Arabidopsis thaliana: one gene and its partner. The protein of the gene in region 2 interacts with the protein of the main gene of each other region in a pairwise test. Each region holds a gene or a part of one and is shown on either strand. Other genes may lie near its edges. The genes, in order: AT4G12210 and AGL29.

Region 1 (9,848 bases), on a different chromosome or scaffold from region 2:
GCATGGGAGACAGTTTGCAGGCCAAAACGAGAGGGCGGATTGGGTCTGCAGTCAATCAAAGAGGCTAATGACGTTTGTTGTCTGAAACTGATTTGGCGAATCGTCTCGCAAGGTGACTCGCTATGGGTGCAGTGGATTAGGACTTATCTTCTCAAGCGCAACACTTTTTGGTCTTTTCGGTCAGCATCTCAGGGCTCATGGATGTGGAAAAAGCTGTTAAAATATCGGGACACTGCAAAAGCCTTTTCTAAGGTCGACATTAGAAATGGTGAAACTGCGTCTTTTTGGTATGATGATTGGTCATCCAAGGGCCGGCTGATTGACGTGCTGGGAGAACGCGGTCAATTCGACATGGGGATAAGCAAGTTTAAGACACTTGCAGAGGCATGGGATCGCAGGAGATCACGTTATCACCGAGCAGAAACGCTTAATACCATTGAACAAGAACTCCTTTTGGCAAAGCAAAACAGAGTGGCAGTAGAGGACGTCTTTCTTTGGAAGGGGAAAAACGATACTTTCCGGCCACAGTTTTCAGCACGTGATACTTGGAGCCACACACGTTCTATTTCGACAGAGGTCACATGGCATAAGAGTGTCTGGTTTGCAGGAGGGACTCCCAAATTCTCCTTCTGCGTTTGGATGGCGGCTCACAATCGTTTATCAACTGGAGATCGGATGCTCAGCTGGAACAGGGGTCTCTCCACAGGCTGCGCTCTTTGTAACCACATGCTGGAACCCGTAATCACCTTTTTTTCTCTTGTGTTTACGCCTCAGAAATTTGGCAGGCTCTAGCTTGGAACATCTATGGAGCAAAGTATACTACACACTGGAATGACTTGATCGCAGCAACCTCAGGACATTGGCAGGATGATCGAACAACGGGCTTCATAGCTCGCTATGTCTTTCAAGCTGCCGTTTATACCATCTGGAGGGAACGTAATAACCGGCGGCATGGTGAACTACCAAACTCACCGGTACGTCTAATCAGATGGATTGACAAGCAAGTACGAGATCGAATTTCATTACTCAACACAAGCGGTGACAGAAGATACGTGACGGGATTACAAGTTTGGTTTGCAGCAAGAAGTTAACTTTTTTTTTCACTTTGATCAAAGTTGTATTTAGCTTTTTCAAACACACGTTGCACTGAGTGTACAAATGACACCTTTCTTTTGAATCTAATTTAACATTACATTCAAAAAAGAAGATCAAAAGCTTCATATATAGAAGAGGTGATTACGGAAGATCAGAGTCCGTGCTCATCTTGGTATTCTTTGTTTGATGGAAGCTTTAAAAGATTGAAGAAAAGGATGGAAACAAATATGTTGAAATAGCTGAAGTGATTTGTGCTGTATTATCCAAAGAGTTGAAATTTGCAGAAGGACTTCATGTGAGAGGTGAAACAAATCACATTGAAGAAGACGCATAAGGAATCATCATTTAATTTCAGCAACAGCTTGATGTGAAAGGGTATTAAAAATTTCAATCCTCTTCTCTAACTGTGTTAAGCCCTTAAAAACAACAAATTACATTCAATTTCTTGAACTAGTTAAAGAGCGTGCGTGACACAAAATTAGAATTTCTAACTTCTATTGGAAACCTTAATACTCAAAATTACATGAAATTTCCTTACATAAAACCCTAATTTCAATCTTTTTTTGCAGTCATCAATCAATCGTAGAGCTCAGTCCGACAAAGGGGACAAGTGTTCTTACGCTTGAGCCACTCTAAAAGACAGCCATTGTGGAAGACATGAGAACAAGTCATGCGTGTGATGTCCCTAGGTTTAGGACCGGAGACTAGACTCTCGAGACAGATGGAACACGGCTCTGTTTCCATCTTCAAACTCTTCAATTCCTCTGTTTTTATTCTCCCTAGCAGAACCATCCTCAATGATCTCTCGTTGTCTGACGTAACGGAGACGGTCAGGTAAGTAACTGTAGCGTCCACGGTCAAGGTAAAGCCGTTGCGCCCAAAACCTAAGTCTATTGCAGCCGTTGAGATCTCTGTGGCTAAGTCATCGCACAAGTAACTCCAAAAGGGGTATCCGACTAATCGATCGTGGAGAAGCGTTCGGATGTGGTCGTGACTAGAACTACAGAGATTGATATTGATGAGAAAAGGTTCTGAAACCTGAGTCCGGCGGGTTTGGCGACCGGTTGTTTGGTCTTCAATGATCTCTTCAGATATGTTTTCGACGCTTATGATGACTGGTTTAAGTTTGAGTTTGGTTCTGATGGAGAGAGTCCCCTTCCACTGACGTGAACTTCCATTTCAAGAGAAGTCATGTTTTGAAACGAACAGAGAAAATCCCAAAGAAAACAAAATCAGAGGAGATTCACACAAAGAAGAAGTCGAAAATCGTAATGAGAGCAAACTGAGAGAAAATTGAGAGAGAAGAGAGAATTGTGAATAGCTTTAGTTAGGGTTACGTAGTGACAGAGATATATAAAGCGTGTTCACGAAGAAATTTCCTTTTTTTATATATGGGCTTTTAATTTGGGTCGACAATTTAACTTGGGCTTTTAGTCCTGATGGATTATGGGATGAGATGCATAATCTTGTTTATGGCTAATTAGGAGAAGTTTGGTTCTTAATTATGTGGTGTGGTTTTGTTTAAATATGCTTGGTTCAATTCCGGTTAACCTTTGGTTAACTGTTTTGTCTCTTCCTGTTTTGTTCTGTGACGTTACTGTAATTTCACTGATAATGCAAAACAGAGAGACGTCGTTTGTTTGCAGTGATGGCTCTGGCTTTTACGGAAACTTCAGTACTCTTTTCGTTTAATTTCATTGTAATTCTTCTCATATAATAGACCTGTGTATGTTCTAGCTTATGATAGAGCACTGTAAGACAATTTACGTTTTTTGTTTTAGTATTTTTTTTTGTGCACAGAAGTTGTTCGACGAAATGACTGTTAGACAGCTACTGGTATGATACAAGTTGTAGACAAATACTATATGACTACTTCTTTAGCTAGGAGGTTTTACTTGAGAGAAAAGTTGCATAGTTTTAGAATGGGCGAAAGCAAGTCTGTTATGGAGAACGTTGATGAGTTTCAGTGGTTGATTGATGAACTAAGTAATGCTAAAGTAGAGATATTTGATGAAGATCAGGCTATATATTTGATGATTTCTTTGCCAGAACAGATTGAAAAGTTTGATGGGAGAGGTGATTACATTTTGGGGAAGACGAAGATCCTTGCTCGTTTTGAGATTCTTGATGTGATTGATGCTTTAAAGATTGAGGAGGATGAGAACAAATCTGTTGGAACAGATGAAGGTAAGAGTCATTGTGTAGCTTTGAGTCTAGATCTAGAAGAGAAGAAGAGAAAGGCAATGAGCATGATTGTTCAGAGCGTAGAAAATCAGAATCTGCGAAAGAAACTTATGAAGGAGAAGACAGCTGCTGGTATGTTATATGTTCTCGACAAACTCTACATTACTAGCTAGATCTGCTGGTAGTGTAGAGTGTAGGACTGGCAGGACTTACCTACAATATAAGCTGTGTAGTTTTAGGATATATGAAAGCCAGTCTGTTGAGGAAAACATCGATGAGTTTGAGAGATTAGTTGAAGACGAAAGCGATACGTTTGCTGATTTCTTTACCAAATTAATTTGATGACCTTACGCTAGACGAAGTGATTTGTGCTGTACTATCCAAAGAGTTCCAAAGGATATAAAGAAACTGCAGAGGAACTTCATGTGAGACGCAGGTCTGTTAGTAGAGATAGGTCAAAATCCAAAGGAGAGAAAGGGGCTTGCTGGATTTGTGGGGAAGATGGCCACTACAAAAACGACTGTCCATCTAGGAACTCTGAGAAGCCGAAGGAACATGCTTATAAAGCACAAGAAGCATCTGTTCCAAGAAGGAATAATGCTTGAGCATTTTAGGAAGAATTATACTTTGTGGGAAGTGCCAATGTATGTATCTCTGTAAGTGTCAATATTTCGTAACTTTGATTGGTGACTAGCAAATATGTTGAAGTAGCTGAAGTATTATCCAAAGAGTTGAAATTGCATAAGGATATTATAAAGACACACTGCAGAAGGACTTCATGTGAGAGGTGAAACAATCACATTGAAGAAGACACATATGAATCATGATTTAATTTCAGCAACAGCTTGATGAAGGGTTTTGGTTATTTTGTTAAGAATTTAAGAGTTGCAACTTGCAAGTGAATAACTTAAAACCGACAAAGTTTGTAGTTTTTTGTTGTGATTAAAAACTTCTCTAATTGAGTAAAACTCTTAAAAACAACAAATTACATTCAATTTCTTCAGCGTGTGTGACACAAAATTAGAATTTTTTTCTATCGAAAACCCTAATTTCAATCTTTTTCTAACTTCTAATGGAAACCATAATTTCAACCTTAATACGAAAATTACATGAAATTTTCATACATAAAACCCTAATATCAATCTTTGGTTCCAGTCATCGATCGTAGAGCTCCGTCCGACACAGGGGACAAGTGTTTTTACGCATGAACCACTCCAAGAGACAGGGATTGTGGAAGACATGAGAACAAGTCATGCGTGTGAGGTCGCTAGGTTTTGGACCGGAGACTAGATTCTCAAGACAGATTGAACAAGACTCTGTTTCCATCTTCAAACTCTTCAATTCCTCTGCTTTTATCCTTCCTAGTAGAACTATCCTCAAAGATTTCTTGTTGTTTGACGTTACCGAGACAGTCCGGTAAGTAACTGTGACGACCACGGTGATGGTAAAACCGTTTCGTCCAAAACCTAAGTCGATAGCCGCCGTTGAGATCTCTGAGGCTAGGTCATCACACAACCAATGGTGGCTAGCGAATCGGGTACGGAGAAGTGATCGGATGTGGTCGTGACTAGAACTACTGAGATTGATAGTGTCGAGACAAGATAGAGTAGCCGGAGTGGACCGGCGGGTTTGGTGATCGGTTGTTTGGTTTACAAAGATCTCTTCAGATTTGGTATCGATCTCAACGATGACTGAGTTTGCATGTGATGGAGAAGAGAGTTTCCTTTGAAGATTGGTGAAGCGAAATTCCACTTTGCGAGAATTCATGTTTTGAAACGGAAAGAGAAACAGAGAAGTAGAAGAAGAAGACTTGGCAAATCGTAGTGACTAGCGAGAGCAAATTGAGAGAGGAGAGAATTTGTGAAGCTTTAGGGTTACGTAGTGAGGATATATATACGCGTCTTCAACGTTCAGATATTTTAGGTTCTAGTTTCCTTTTTTTCTCTGTCACCTAACAATTTCCTTTTTTTTTAAGAAGTTTCCTTTTTTCCTTTTTAACAGTTTTATTTGTAGAGTTTGATTTGAAGGGGTTTTGGTTATTACTTATTAGTTTAAGACTTAGCAATAATTATTGGTAAGTTTTTAGTGGGTTCTTAAATTAATTTGAGAATAAAATTAAATGCTAAAGGATGTATTAACTTAAGAGGGCCTCTTATACAAGAGGCGAAAAATGATGGTAAGAGACGATGATGTGGCAAACTATGTGTGGGCCATGGGAAAATACAAACTTCATTCTACGAAGACTAATATCTTAAGATGTGCAATGAAAACAAATCAAAATCCTTGAAAGGCTTAAAGCCACAGAAAAGTAAATCAAACTAGTTTCAATACCTCTATGTCAAGAACTCAATGCAATCCAGAGACTTAAAAATCATACTTTTGTTGGCGACTTGATTAGATTCTGCTGGGATAATAAGCTCTGACTGCAAATTGAGGACGAATACTTTATTGAGCAACACATGTACTTCCAAATTGTATTATAGCCATATTTAGCTCAATACACTCCCTGTAACACAATATAAGTAGGTCTCAGCCTCAAAGTCTAGCTTTTTAACTCTAAAAATGCAGAAAGCAATCATTTTTTTCTCAAAAATTTGTTTTGATTATGAACTCTTAAATACCAATTATGAATCTCTTTTATATCTTTGTGTCAATACACCAAACACCACCAATTACTTCATCGCATATATTCCTTCTCTCCACAAAACCACACATAAACCAAAATCATATCTTTTTTTTTTTAAGAATCCTAACTTAATATACTATCATTGAGGATGACTAAACTTAAAAATCTTACCCAAACTCTTAACTACCAAATTTTCAAAATCTATTCCTAAATTATTGCTAAGAGCCATTGTTAATAACCTCCCATTAATGATGGTCCAATGATCTTATTTAAAACCCTTAAAAGCACAAAATTACATTCAATTTCTGGAAGCACAGAGCGAATGAAACAAAATTAGATTTGAAACCTTAATAAACAAAATCACATAAAATTTCCCCAATATAGAGCGTACGTGTGACACAAGTTATGCAATCAGTAGATGAAACCCTAATACTTTCAATTCTTAGAACAAGTCATGCGTGGGAGATCGCTAGGTTTCGGACTGGAGAGATCGTGGAAACAGATGGAACACGACTCTGTTTCCATGTTCGAACTCTTTAATTCCTCTGCTTTTATCCTCTCTAGTAGAACCATTCTCAATGATTTCTGTGTCGTTTGAAGTAACGGAGACGGTCCGGTTAGTAACTGTGACGACCACGGTGAAGGTAAAGCCGTTTCGTCCAAAACCTAAGTTGATTGCCTCCGTCGCGATCTCTGGGGCTAAGATATCACACAAAAAATGGTAGCTAACGAACCGACTACGGAGAAGTGATCGGATGTGGTGGTGACTAGAACTACAGAGATTGATAGTATCGAAAAAAGATGGTGAAGCCGGAGTGGACCGGCTGGTTTGGTGACCGGTTGTTGGGTTTACAAAGATCTCTTCAGATTTGGTTTCGATGAAAACGAGAACTGAGTTTGGTTGTGATGGAGAGAGTTTCCTTTGGTTGATGAAGCGTAATTCCACTTTGCAATATTTCATGTTTTGAAACGAAAAGAAAAACAGAGAAGAGATTCAAACAGAGAAGAAGACGACTTCGCAAATCGTAATGAGAGAAAATTGAGAGAGAAGAGAATTGTGAATAGCTTTAGGGTTACGTAGTATAGTCACATATTTCAGGTTCTAGTGTCCTTTTTTCTTGTCATCAAACAAATTTCCTTTTCTTTAAGAAGTTTCCTTTTTTCCATGTGTTTTGGGTCGATAATTTACTAAATATTGGAGACAATGTTAATTCCAGGTGGATATATGTTACTTATTTCTTTTAACTGATTCTCGATTAATTTTAAGAGTAGTACGTAAAATAGATCTTTATATTTTTGGCAACCGATATTAATTAGAATTCAAAATAGTTAATCCCAAAAAATATTGTTTACATATATGGTATAATACGGTTTGATACGAATCTTTCGTGCTAAATTATCTACTTTTACATTTGCACTATGAAAAATTAAAAATAAAGAAAAGTTTGTGCATTTTTCTGCAATTATTCCAAATATATTAAAAATATGGGTAATTCGGTTGGGAAAGACAGATCAATAAAATGAAAGAAATTATATCAAAATCCAAATATTCTTGGAAATTGATTCATACCGAAATCTAATCAAAACATATGTGAAAATAGATGTTGATGAGTCACATGATGACCATTAATTATTACATACTTTACGTCGTTAACTGAGAATGACTGCTACAATCACGGACCATTCACGGCGTCAACGTTGACAGGCAGTTGATATAGGAGACTCTGTTATCTCGCCGTTATATAATTCCTATCGAAAATCAGAGCAAAAAAAAATAAAAAAGATTAATTGCAAAGTTGTTCGTGAAGAGCAAAAGCGAAATTAAATACATAAATTCGATCGGATGTTGAAAATCTCCGATCGGCGATGAAAGGCGTCTCTTCGACGCCCGGAGATTACGTCTACTTTAAATCTCAGGTTCCTCTTCACAAGATTCCCGTATGTTTCTTCTTCCTCTCTCTCTCTTTGACTTTTGATGAATTTTCGATTCTGCATTCTATTCGGCTACTAAATTAGGTTTAATCTCGAGCTTTTGAGGTTTTGATTTTTGTTTTTTTTTTTGTTGATTTTCGATTAATCTCATGTGGGTTTTAATCGTTTGGGTTTATGCAGAATTTTTTGTGTGAGTAGTTCTATCGTAAATGGGTTTATCCTGCTGAGTTTGGGTTCAAATTTTATGCTTAGAATTTTAATTTTTGGGTTCTTGTCTAAAAGCAAGAACTTGGTAGTCTTTAGTTTAGTGATGGGTATTCTCCATTTTTGATCTTTTTAACTTCTGTAGATTCTTTTAGTGTTGCTTTTGATTTGATCTATGAGTAGCCTGTGACACACTTAGTGATTTGTCTTTGTTTATGTTCGCATATTTAGTTCTTAGCTCTACTAATCCCAAGCAACTATTGAATGGCTCTATAGATGTAATGTTTGTTCGGGTTGTGTTGCTTAGAGTTTGGAAAACTGTGATTTGTTAAGCATTTGTACATGTATGTCCACTGTTTCAAGCTTCGGAATGAAAGATTTCATTTTTTTTGTTTTTTCTTGGAATGTCATTTGCTCAGAGCATAAACAATCTTATAAATATCTAGCTTTATGTGCATGCTAACTGCAGATTGGGACAAAGCAATGGCGTTACTATGACTTTGGTCCAAAGACTGTTCCTCCGCTCATATGTATTCCTGGAATTGCAGGAACTGCAGATGTTTACTATAAACAGATTATGGCACTCTCTATGAAGGTTTGTCAAGTTCTAGTCTTTCAACAGTTATCTGCAAACAATCTTTTCTTAATCACAGGTAGCTTTAAACATTTGTTAGGATATGGTAACTTAGATGCTTATGTGTTGATGTGATCCTTGGGGACTGATTAGATATCTCCAAAAATGTTGAACTTATGTTGTTAAATCTGCAATTCCAGGGTTATCGGGTAATCTCAGTTGATATTCCACGGGTTTGGAATTATCATGAGTGGATTCAAGCATTTGAGAAGTTCTTGGACACCATTGATGTTCATCACGTAAGATCTCTTTAAGTTACAAATCACCATCTAAGTTCCTAAATTTTTTTATTGGTGCGGAAATATATGGCATTGTAAGTGATTGTACTTGACCATTCTTAATAGGTGCATCTCTACGGTACTTCCCTTGGAGGCTTCTTAGCACAACTCTTTGCTCATCACCGTCCAAGGCGGGTTAAATCATTAGTTCTATCAAATACATATTTGGATACTCGTACTTTTGCTACTGCAATGCCATGGGCTCCTTTGTATGTCTCTCTTATACGATTATTCCTTCTTTATTTTTATTGTTTGTGCCTAAGTATTTGTACTGACTCTCAACGCTTTTCGTGATGCTCTGTGCAGTGTCAGTTGGACCCCTTCTTTTTTGCTTAAACGATACGTCTTAACAGGAATTCGTGACGGACCTCATGAACCCTTTATAGCTGACTCTGTCGACTTTGCTGTTTCTCAGGTTGCTATCCTGATTATTTCATCTATGATATTTTCTTGAACGGATCTGAATAACATGTGGACAAGGAATTTTAGATAAACTTACCAGCTCGGTTTCTTTGGTTTACTCTGATTTAGGTGGAGACATTGTCGAAAGATGATTTGGCTTCCCGGTTAACTTTAACTGTGGATGCTGCTTCCGTGGGATCTCTACTACTCTCTGATTCTTCAGTTACTATAATGGATGTAGGTTTCGATTAGCTATATACGGGACTTTTCGTATTATCAATGCAAGTAATTTTATCGTTGTCTAACAATGCTGTTATGTCTTCCAAATCAGACAAATGATTACTGCGCAATACCACAACATCTTAAAGATGAACTAACAGAGAGGTATCCTGAAGCAAGGAGAGCTTACTTAAAGAGTGGAGGAGATTTCCCATTCCTATCACGGCCCGACGAAGTCAATTTGCATCTACAGGTACATATCTACTCAGTATCT
Region 2 (10,404 bases):
TTTGTTCCTCAACTGTTTTGTAGGAAAAGGTAAAGTATTATGATATAGCTACTGAGAAGAGGGAAGAATTTCACCGAGCAATGACAGAATATACCAAGAGAATGGTACCACCGTTTTCTTCATTTTTCCTTGTTTTTGCTTAATATTTATTCACATCAGTGGGTTCTTCATTTTTCCTTGTTTTTGCTTAATATTTATTCACATCAGTGTCCCACTGATGCGGTGATAAAACATTAGTCTGAGCTTTTCATTTTACTATTTTGCAGGAATCAGGTGCCCACGATGAATCAGAGACCGACTCAGACTATTCTGAATAGATTACTTTTTAGTTTCTACCACATTAGAAACATTGTTCTAAGCCTTCTAGGATGGGTTTGTATATCGGTGATATTTAAGAGTTTCTGTTTCGTTTTTGAGATCATTCTTTCACTGATACTCATGTTTCTGTGGATTGCATTTGGAGATCAATGAATACTAACCAGTTTCTTGAGTGGTTGCCAAAGGGTTTTACTGTTTCTTTTTATTGTCTCGATTCTGTTTGAAACAAAAATTCCAGACTGCAGAGTGACGAAAAAGCTGATCAAGTTTAGCAAGTACACTTGAGATTAATACAGACAAATTTCCAGGTACATTTTCATTTGATGTCAAATAGAAAGTCACACCCCATAGATGACAGAAAATTCTACACCAGCAATAACTTTCATGTGTTGGTAAGTTCTGTAGGCTGATACAAAAAATAGAATGTAACTCTAACAAGTCGGTCTAGCTATTTTCTGGAGAGAAGCATGAGGCAAGACGAAGCCTGCAAGTGATTGACTTGACCTTCAATCCTACCATGGACTGTCTGAAGCCTATCTTTGTATTCATTGAGTTCATCGAGGGTAAGCGTCTCAATGGACTCCTTGAATCTCTCATCCCCAGCAGATTCAAGCTTCTCCTGACTCTTCTCGCCTCGTTCCTTCTCAGCTTCAACCTCTTGGTTGAGCAAATCGAGACGTTCACTCAGCCTCTTCAGTTTAGGCCTGTAATTACCACTTTTTTCTTCATCGCCACTGTCTGAATCATCATATTCTCTCATGAATCGCTCTGCAACAGAATCAAGATTCGGTTTCCCGTAGGAGAAAGGCTTGCCTCCTGGTGAAAAGACAACGATGCCCAACTCAGCGTTGCAGAGCGTGGCTAACTCGCTCGCCTTCTTGAACAAACCAGTCCTCCGTTTTGAAAAGGTAACCTGTCGTGTGTTCATGTCCTGAACCATCTCCATCTTGATCTTTCTCCGACCCATTTGTTTGCTAAAACGGTACGAATAAGAGAGAACCTCTCGTTTTTTTTTGCTGTGAAAGTGAATATGTTGGTGAAGAAGAAGATTTTGGTGTTGTATGTCTCTGTTTTTAGTAATGGAGATGGAGGTAGAGAATTTTCATTGAACCTAACGAGGGTCATATATAGTAATGGAGGTGGAGAATCACAAGGGTGCAGATTTAGCAAGTTTTTAATTGAAAATCTTGAATTGCCTTATATGGGCGTTGAATAGTTTCTAATTGTGTGTATTCAAACATCCATGAATATTTAAATTTTCATTTTTCTTTTTTCTATTGAATAGTTTCTAATTGTGTATTCAAAACATACATGAATCTTTAACAATTCATATTTTTTCCCTTTATTTCTTAAGAACATAGACAAAAGATGGGATTCATTACCTTGTAAAGAATTAAAAATGGTATTCATAATTGGTCTTTCTTTTTTTTTTTTTTTTTATGTAATTCAAAATTTAGAAGTTTATTTTATATTCTGGTCGTTATTCTCCAAAGTGATTTTTTTTTTCTTCTTTGTAGACCTCTCGTTGATTAATAAGTTATCGACCATGTTATGTAGTTCAAAAGTTTTTGCAAATGGTGTCGTTGAATTAAAATAAAAAGTTATGGACCGTTTCAAACGTTTTTGTTTGCGAATGCCCACTGAGGACAGGAGTCCAAAGGTTTGCGAGTCACTCGAATGACTTATGAGTTCAGTCACATTCAACTTAACCATGTTTTTTTAATTAGAAACCTAAAACAAGAGCGTCGACCATAAGACCTACAAATGCTTTCAAGACTCCGAACTACATTATCAAAAATAAAGTCTTTGACAATTTGCATACCAAACACACCCAAATTGCATGAAAAATTCCGTGCAATTAAATTTGAACAAGAGAAAAATTATGACCAAGACTTTGGATTCCTTATCACCAAAACTCTCAACAATGCAACATCAAAATCCGATTGAAGAAGTCACACCAAAAGTGAAAGACAAAAAAGTTAAAAACATATAAGGATGGTTTGAGATATATTTTAGTTATTTTGAAGAACAAAAACAAACTTGTTTGGACTTTGATGTGGTACGATCAAATCATTTGGTATTATCTCTGTTCTTGGAACCAAACTATGTTGTGTGAACACCGAATTAGGTCTAAGTATGTTCTTGCACATTAGTAAATAGTAAGTGACTGATCCATCAATATCATAAAGCTTCTTAAATATTTCACACACATACAAAGTAATTTACAAGATATGAAATCTGCATCACATTTCCAAGATGCAACAAACCGGATACACACAACTCGATCACAAATTAAACTCACTTTCCGGGGACGAAGTTGGTAGCGAAGGCCCATGCATTGTTGTTGACTGGATCAGCCAAGTGGTCCGCGAGGTTCTCCAACGGTCCCTTTCCGGTGACAATGGCCTGAACGAAGAATCCAAACATAGAGAACATAGCCAACCTTCCGTTCTTGAGCTCCTTCACCTTCAACTCCGCGAAAGCCTCGGGGTCAGTAGCGAGGCCCAATGGGTCGAAGCTCCCACCTGGGTAAAGCAAGTCCTCTGCTTCTCCCAATGGACCATCTCCGGCGACTCTGTAGCCCTCAACAGCTCCCATGAGGATAACTTGAGTAGCCCAAATGGCTAAGATGCTCTGAGCGTGGACCAAGCTCGGGTTGCCCAAGTAGTCCAATCCTCCGTCGCTGAAGATCTGTGAACCAGCCTTGAACCAAACCGCTTCTCCGAACTTCACTCCGTTCCTAGCCAATAGCTCAGGGAAAACGCAGCCTAGGGCTCCGAGCATGGCCCATCTGCTGTGGATAACTTCTAGCTCACGGTTCCTAGCGAAGGTCTCGGGATCGGCGGATAGACCGGCAGTGTCCCACCCGTAATCACCGGGGAACTCTCCAGTGAGGTAGCTCGGAGGCTCACCGGAGAATGGACCCAAGTACTTGACTCGGTCGGATCCGTACCATGGGCTGCCGGATGGACCGGTGGGCTTGGAGGCTTTGCGCATGGTGATTCGGCCGGTTCCAAATACTTCGGAGGCCGCCGGGGATAGCTTAACGGCCTTTCCGGTCAAAGCAGGAGAGGAGAGAGCCATTGTCGAGGCGGCCATTGCGGTGAGAGTGTGGCGCAAGTAAAAGGCTCTTTAGTTAATAAGATGTGATGAAATTGGATAGCTAGGTTACGGTGAGGTTTTTGGGTATTTATAACGTACATATGAATTGCAAAACTTGAAGATTTAATTTGCTTATCTCGTGATATCGTCAATGCCTTGATTTCTATTGGTTGTTGACATTTTTGAGCTTAGATTTTTTGTCTTGTCGAGCTGGCATCAGATTTTTGGTTTGGAATTGAGTTGTGTTAGATAAATTAGATATCTCGTAGCATCTTAGCATATTGGAATACCCATTGTCCATTGAAGACGTGCCACTTGTAAATCTGACGTGTTTCTATCCCTTTGAATCGTATCAGTCTCAAGGTACACGTCATTGGTGTTTCCCAAATAGACATGTCGTCAAAGAATCAAAACAACATGATACAAAGTCCAAACATACTTAGAACGTTGCATACTACCCACTCTTTCACCAAAATGTGAAATATGAGTGAAAACTGAACATCTCAATTTTCATTACTCTAAGTTTGTTAATTATCTTGTTAAAAAAACTACTCTAAATTACAGAAGATTTAATCCTGATAAGAAAGTACATTAAAATGACAACAAAGTAAAAAAAAAAAATACAGTTCATCTTCAAAGACATGTTTTCTAATTCGTATTGGCAAGAAAAACTTACCAGTCATATTTGTTGCCGAAAACATTCAACAAAATCAATCAAAGGTATCAGTTAATATCATTGTCGACGGTTTTATATTATTAACTTATGATCGTAAGAACTTCGTATCACTTTTTGTTTCATCTAACTGCATTGTTTTACATAACATTGATATATATTTGTTTGGTAAGTGTTTCTAGTTTCACTTAAAAACTTTGTAGTTTGGCGTTCGAAACAAACTTGATAAGAAAAAAAAGAAAATATTATTGAGAGCATGAAGTGGATTGGAATTAAAGAAAACAAGGAAAAAGAAAAAAATAGATTGGAATAATTTCAAATATTTCTTTCCAATAATTCAAGCATTTATCTTTGAAAATTTCCCCAAAGTTTCTTTGTGTACAAATGACAAGTGTTTTCGTTGCAGCTAAAGAATCTAGCAAAAGCTTATGGACTAGAGAGTGACACATAGGACAAGATAACGACAATCCCAAAATCTCATAAGCCAATCACTAAACAGATACAGATACTTCACAGATAACAAACCTTACTCTTAACATTGCTATAAAGTGGACGTATACCCCAACCATTTTCAATCACTCTCACCAGTCACAACCAAAAAAAAGAAAACACAAAAACAAAGATTATAATGGCTTCCTCAACCATGGCTTTGTCCTCCCCTGCCTTCGCCGGAAAGGCTGTGAAGCCTGCCGCATCAGATGTCCTCGGAAGCGGCCGTGTGACCATGAGGAAGACTGTCGCCAAGCCAAAGGGTCCATCAGGCAGCCCATGGTACGGATCTGACCGAGTCAAGTACTTGGGTCCATTCTCCGGCGAGCCCCCGAGCTACCTTACCGGTGAGTTCCCCGGTGACTACGGATGGGACACCGCTGGTCTATCCGCCGACCCAGAGACCTTCGCCAGGAACCGTGAGCTAGAAGTTATCCACAGCAGATGGGCCATGCTCGGAGCCCTAGGCTGCGTTTTCCCTGAGCTATTGGCTAGGAACGGAGTGAAGTTCGGAGAAGCGGTTTGGTTCAAGGCCGGTTCACAGATCTTCAGCGACGGAGGATTGGACTACTTGGGCAACCCGAGCTTGGTCCACGCTCAGAGCATCTTAGCCATTTGGGCTACTCAAGTTATCCTCATGGGAGCTGTTGAAGGCTACAGAGTCGCCGGAGATGGTCCATTGGGAGAAGCAGAGGACTTGCTTTACCCAGGTGGCAGCTTCGACCCATTGGGCCTCGCTACTGACCCCGAGGCTTTCGCAGAGTTGAAGGTGAAGGAGCTCAAGAACGGAAGGTTGGCTATGTTCTCTATGTTTGGATTCTTCGTTCAAGCCATCGTCACCGGAAAGGGACCTTTGGAGAACCTCGCCGACCATTTGGCCGACCCAGTCAACAACAACGCTTGGGCCTTCGCCACCAACTTCGTCCCCGGAAAGTGAGCGGCTGCTTATTATGTGAATGAGAGCAGAGAAAGAGAGTTTGTTTGTGGTCTATTCTATGTAAATTTGTGAACTTTCCTTTGTGGTATCTTTGTATAGAAATCGAACCTCTTTTTCTCTAACTGTGTTGGCGTTTTATCTGAAGACTCAATTGAATTGAAATATCCACTCTTGTAAAATTCATATGTTCTGTATTTGGACAAACTACCAAATACGGACGAACAAAAGACAAAATGAAACTATATATGAGAAACTTATAGCAAAATTACAACAGAGACGAGAAAGAAAACGAACAAGATAAGTCGTCCTAAGATGATGCCGTCGAAATGCCACAAGATGCTTCACTCTAAGCCATTTTTTGAAGCTTCTCTGGTTCTAATTACCCAAAAGATGCTTCACTTGGCAAGCTTCAAAAAATACTGATCTTTGAAAACAAATTTTTATTGTCGATATGAGATGTGTGTTGTATCTATTTTAGCAAGTTTCACATAGAAACCTCTGTGCAGCTTTAGATTCATGTTTTTCAACATGTTTCTAGTCCCTCCTGTCAAAATAAAATGGTTATAGCGTGTTAATCGAGAATTGTATCTCTTCCTAAGCGAGTACACACCAAGATCAACAATGGCTGCAATGGACCATGCAAAGTAAAAGGCCTTACATGGTTAGTGTGGGATCTGGAGAAGAATGAGAGATGTTAAATATAAACAGAACGAGATGGCAGCTCCAGCGAGAACATTGTGGAGCAGCCTCTTGTCGTCTTTTGTTGGTATGAAAACAGACTTTAACGTGTTTGTAAGCTCGAAAAGTCGGTGGGACACCTGAAGAAAATAAATCAAAAGAACATATTACAATAATAGAACGTATCGTGAATACAGGATTTCTTCATGGATTCTACAATTGCTTTACCAAGACATAGATGGCCGTGACGAGCATGAAGTTGAGCATTGGGTATTCTGGAATAATGCATAATAGCCACTTAGGCTGTCCATTTGGCACATTCGATCTGCAGAACACATAATTTGCAGTTAAAATTTCATTCCTAGATCCTTCAGACAAATGGTCTCTTGCCTACATAATTGGGAGAAAGGAAACAGTTTCTCGCTGACCTTAACCAGATGTGAAACTGAGAAATATAGGTTTCCAGAGTAATCTTGCCGAGCCACCTACGAAGATATGACAGTCATGTCATATTAGAGTTGTGTACAGAATAAAACACTAAGCTTGGTTAGAATGAGACTAAGATTGAGAAACATACGCAAATAGTGTCATGGAGAAATTACGCAGCTGTTGTGTAGAATTTCGCAGACAGATGTAGACGCTAAGACAAAATAATCAAAGCTAAAGTCAGAATTTAGAGAGTAAGACATCTCAAAGTTTAATGTTTGGGGTGAAAGAAAACGGGATTTGATACTAACGTTATTGGAATCCACGATGTGTAGGGATGATATTTGTTGTATGTAACCTTGTCAAGCTTGTATATGTATTCATACCATAGGTAACCAACCTGAACAATATAGGGAACAACTTGGGCATCAGAATAATATCAAATACATAAGATCCATAAGCCAGAGAGAACCCAAACTCACAAATGAGGAAATTGCAATTATGCTTGTCTTTATTGACATCTTTCTCTTGGCATCACACTCCTCCAATTTCTCCATCCATCTCTCTACCTGAAATGAAAATGTCAAAAAATATTTTAATCGTAGGGTTCATGAGAAGATATGAAAAAACGAGAAGGCTGTAGGTTCAAGAGTTACAGTGGGATGGAAATAGGCATATATCATTCCAATGATCCATATGTAGCGGTCAAGTCCTGATCTGAAGTGCCATTCATGTAAAAGTGGTAGTTCTGGTTTAGCTGGATCAGTGTATCCTGTACTTGTGTAAGGAAAAAAACTAAATGTTAGTCAACATACAAAAACACTAATTCCAGTGACCAAGTGACAACAAACATTGGCAGGATTTTTTTAGCACAAGACGGATATGCAGTCGACCATGCCGAACACAGTAAAAGATATGAGAAGAGTCTGATACTGACCCAGTAAGAATGTTAAAGGACTCCAGAAAATCTCAAAAACGCCAGGAATCTCCCACATCACGATAACCACGAGAAAGCATGAAGCAATCTTCAAAGCCATTACTGATGGTATTTCGTTATATCGACTGAAGATACCAAGGGCTCCATACACCATAAGAGTGAACAGAGTGTGCATTGGACAGATGTAGTACAGCATATAATCATTATTGAGAATAATGCAGCTAAACGCCACAAATAAGTTAAGACGCCACATCATCTGGAAGAAGTAAAAGTTTTCATGAGCATCTTGAGTCATTGAAAACAACATGTCCCTTAGAAGCATATATCATGGTCAACTAATTAACTGTGCAATTGAAATGACCTGAGTAAATCGTGCTAGGGAGAAATCCTTTCTGATATAGTAATAAGAGAAGTTCCCAAACCCAGTCATCCAGACGTAGGCAGCAATGAAAACCCTGATTGCATTATATATCTCAGCCGCAGCAAAGTAATGATACATAAGAAATAGAACCTGCAAAGACACAAAAACTGTAAATTAGCATGGAAAACAGTTGCAACACACACAAAACATCTAAACGTGATACCAAAAAACTCAGATATATTCTGCTAAGCAGGAGCAAAAACATGTGAAAATGTTAAGGTCACCTACTGAGAAAATACTGAATCAGTTACCTGCATCCATCCCTTCCACTCTTCAGTCTGGTGACGATTAAGATAGAGAATGGATTTTCCTGTTATAGGTGATTTGTCATTGTGTTTCTTCAAGGATGTCATGGCTGAAACTATGATGAGAAGACAGTAGAGAAAGAGGAAAAGATCTCTGTTGTAATTCTGCAAAATGGAAAGTATACGAAAAAAGTGTCACAAATTGCAGAACCATTTTTAGACTCAGATGTTAGATTTCTATCTCTAAACTATTAACGACATCTGTGCTATAACACTATATATAACACATAAATGGTTTTAGAATTTTGATGACCAGTTGAAACTGAGAAAAGAATCCATCACATAGATTTAAAGGAGGCACCTTTTTAGACTCTCCAAGCAAGCTTGTTCGATCACTAATATAAAAGTAAAAAAGAATAGCCCCAAACTCAGCCCTGAAAGGAAGTAATACGGTCATGAGAGGGAATGAAGAACAGTATGAATCCATTCTGATAAAATTAAGGAACTTACATCGCTCTCAAGGTTGCTCGATTTTCAATCAAGAAAGAGTCTTCCAGCGTCAGAAATCTACAAGTAGACAAACGTAAATGGTTTATGTTTGTTGAAAGAACACTCCACTCTAAGAAACAAAAAAACACAAAGGAAGAAATCAGTAAAACTACCTAATCAAGTTTGTTTTGATAGGTGAGTTATAAAACTTTGTAGAGACTGATCTTGGAAGACCTCCTTCAAGTAAAACTACTCCTTCATCTTCCTTGTTTTTTACCTCACCAAGTTCAACCAAATTATTATCTGAATGACTGCAAGTAAGAAGTATAGGTTACTAAGAGGTTAGATACATATAACAAGAGAGCCATTTAAATTAGAGTCCTGATACATACACTTTAGAGTGCAATGAAGACCTCTTATACTCTAGAAACTCTGAGTAAATCCATGCTATGAAGACAGGAATGACTCCGAGTAGAAACGAAACCTGCATTAAAGAAATATGAAAGGTCATCCAAACCAAATCTCTGGTGAGAAACATTTTCAAAATTCAAAGTTGAAAGCTACTACATTTGAAGACACTAGCAAAATTTGATCCCTCTAGTAAACTAATCCAAATTGTAAATTCAATTACTCCACAACCTATCGATTATAGTAGAAATCTCGTTCAACAGAAACTATTCATTTCAAATCCTTGAAACCGTAGCAAAAAAATGAAATTTAAGAAGACGCTGAAGCTTCAAAAAAAAACAAAGTTAGGAGATACCGTACCTGACCAGGCGTGATTGGCTGAGAATCCGCCATTATAGTGGATCCACGAAGGGATCTTCAATCAAAAACTGGAAACAAAAAAGAAGGGAAGAGACAGGGAGAGTGATTTCTACTCCACCGTCGGATCTAAGGTAAGGCACAGGATCCGAAACCCTAGAAATACAATAGCACGGAAGGTGCGAGCAAAGAAGAAGAAGAAGAAGAAGAAGAAGAAGAAGAAGAGATCTGAAGTGAAGAAGGTGTTGCTTCAAGGATGGAGAAAATGGCGGGTGCGACGTCGTTCTCGTCAAGCTCACCCAAACGGTTGTTGGTTGGTTTGGCGAATGTTCTCTTTTCTGGTCCGTTCGGTTTTTTTGCCTTTCTCTACTAATTTTAAGAATCGGTGATTACAATACCAACAGAAAAAAATTGATTACTGAATGATTAAATAATAACTAGAGAGAGACGTAACTATTATAGATTCAAAGTAATTTTAATTGTTAGTGTTAAGTTTCATATACATTCAAAATAAAACTTCAAATTTATTTTACAACAAATTTTACTAGACTTGCACTCTCCGAGAAAGTCACAGGTGAATGTAACCAAATTCATACCTTTCCCTCTTCATCTCCTCCACCAACAAATCAAATAACGAACCGGAATCTTCCCTGCCACACTGTAAATAATCGCTTCCGGCAAGAAATTCCATTAGCTCACCCTCGATCTCAATCCAGCTGCATCCTGGTGTCTTAACGACGCCTCTGTCTCTCATCAACGCCCTCATCTTCGCAGACTCATCCCACATCTTCATATCAGCTAAAACATTAGAAGAGATTACATAGTTTCCTGCGTTCTTCGCCTCTTTCATCTCCATCAACATCCTCATCGCCTTCTCTCTGATCGCAACATCTTTTCTCTTATGACATGCTCCAAGGATCGCTG

The links.
Region 1: the proteins of AGL29 (region 2) and AT4G12210 interact in a two-hybrid assay, tested with the Arabidopsis thaliana proteins (one large-scale study listed by BioGRID).

The regions. Positions count from the first base shown.
Region 1 is NC_003075.7:7,276,874-7,286,721, forward strand, and holds AT4G12210 (RING/U-box superfamily protein), read right to left. Parts: upstream 5,047-9,848; coding exon 4,435-5,046; downstream 1-4,434. Other genes in the region: AT4G12190 (RING/U-box superfamily protein), read right to left, coding at 1,672-1,887; AT4G12220 (uncharacterized protein), read right to left, coding at 6,375-6,866; AT4G12230 (alpha/beta-Hydrolases superfamily protein), read left to right, coding at 7,772-7,843, 8,511-8,636, 8,816-8,914, 9,020-9,162, 9,260-9,368, 9,485-9,592, 9,687-9,827.
Region 2 is NC_003071.7:14,517,831-14,528,234, reverse strand, and holds AGL29 (AGAMOUS-like 29), read right to left. Parts: upstream 1,565-10,404; 5' UTR 1,286-1,564; coding exon 767-1,285; 3' UTR 501-766; downstream 1-500. Other genes in the region: AT2G34450 (HMG-box (high mobility group) DNA-binding family protein), read left to right, coding at 24-104, 267-317; LHB1B1 (light-harvesting chlorophyll-protein complex II subunit B1), read right to left, coding at 2,617-3,417; LHB1B2 (photosystem II light harvesting complex protein B1B2), read left to right, coding at 4,722-5,519; RWA3 (O-acetyltransferase family protein), read right to left, coding at 6,182-6,337, 6,426-6,522, 6,626-6,682, 6,775-6,837, 6,935-7,023, 7,106-7,192, 7,280-7,395, 7,561-7,816 and 7 more; AT2G34400 (Pentatricopeptide repeat (PPR-like) superfamily protein), read right to left, coding at 10,049-10,404. UniProt on the Arabidopsis thaliana protein: Probable transcription factor.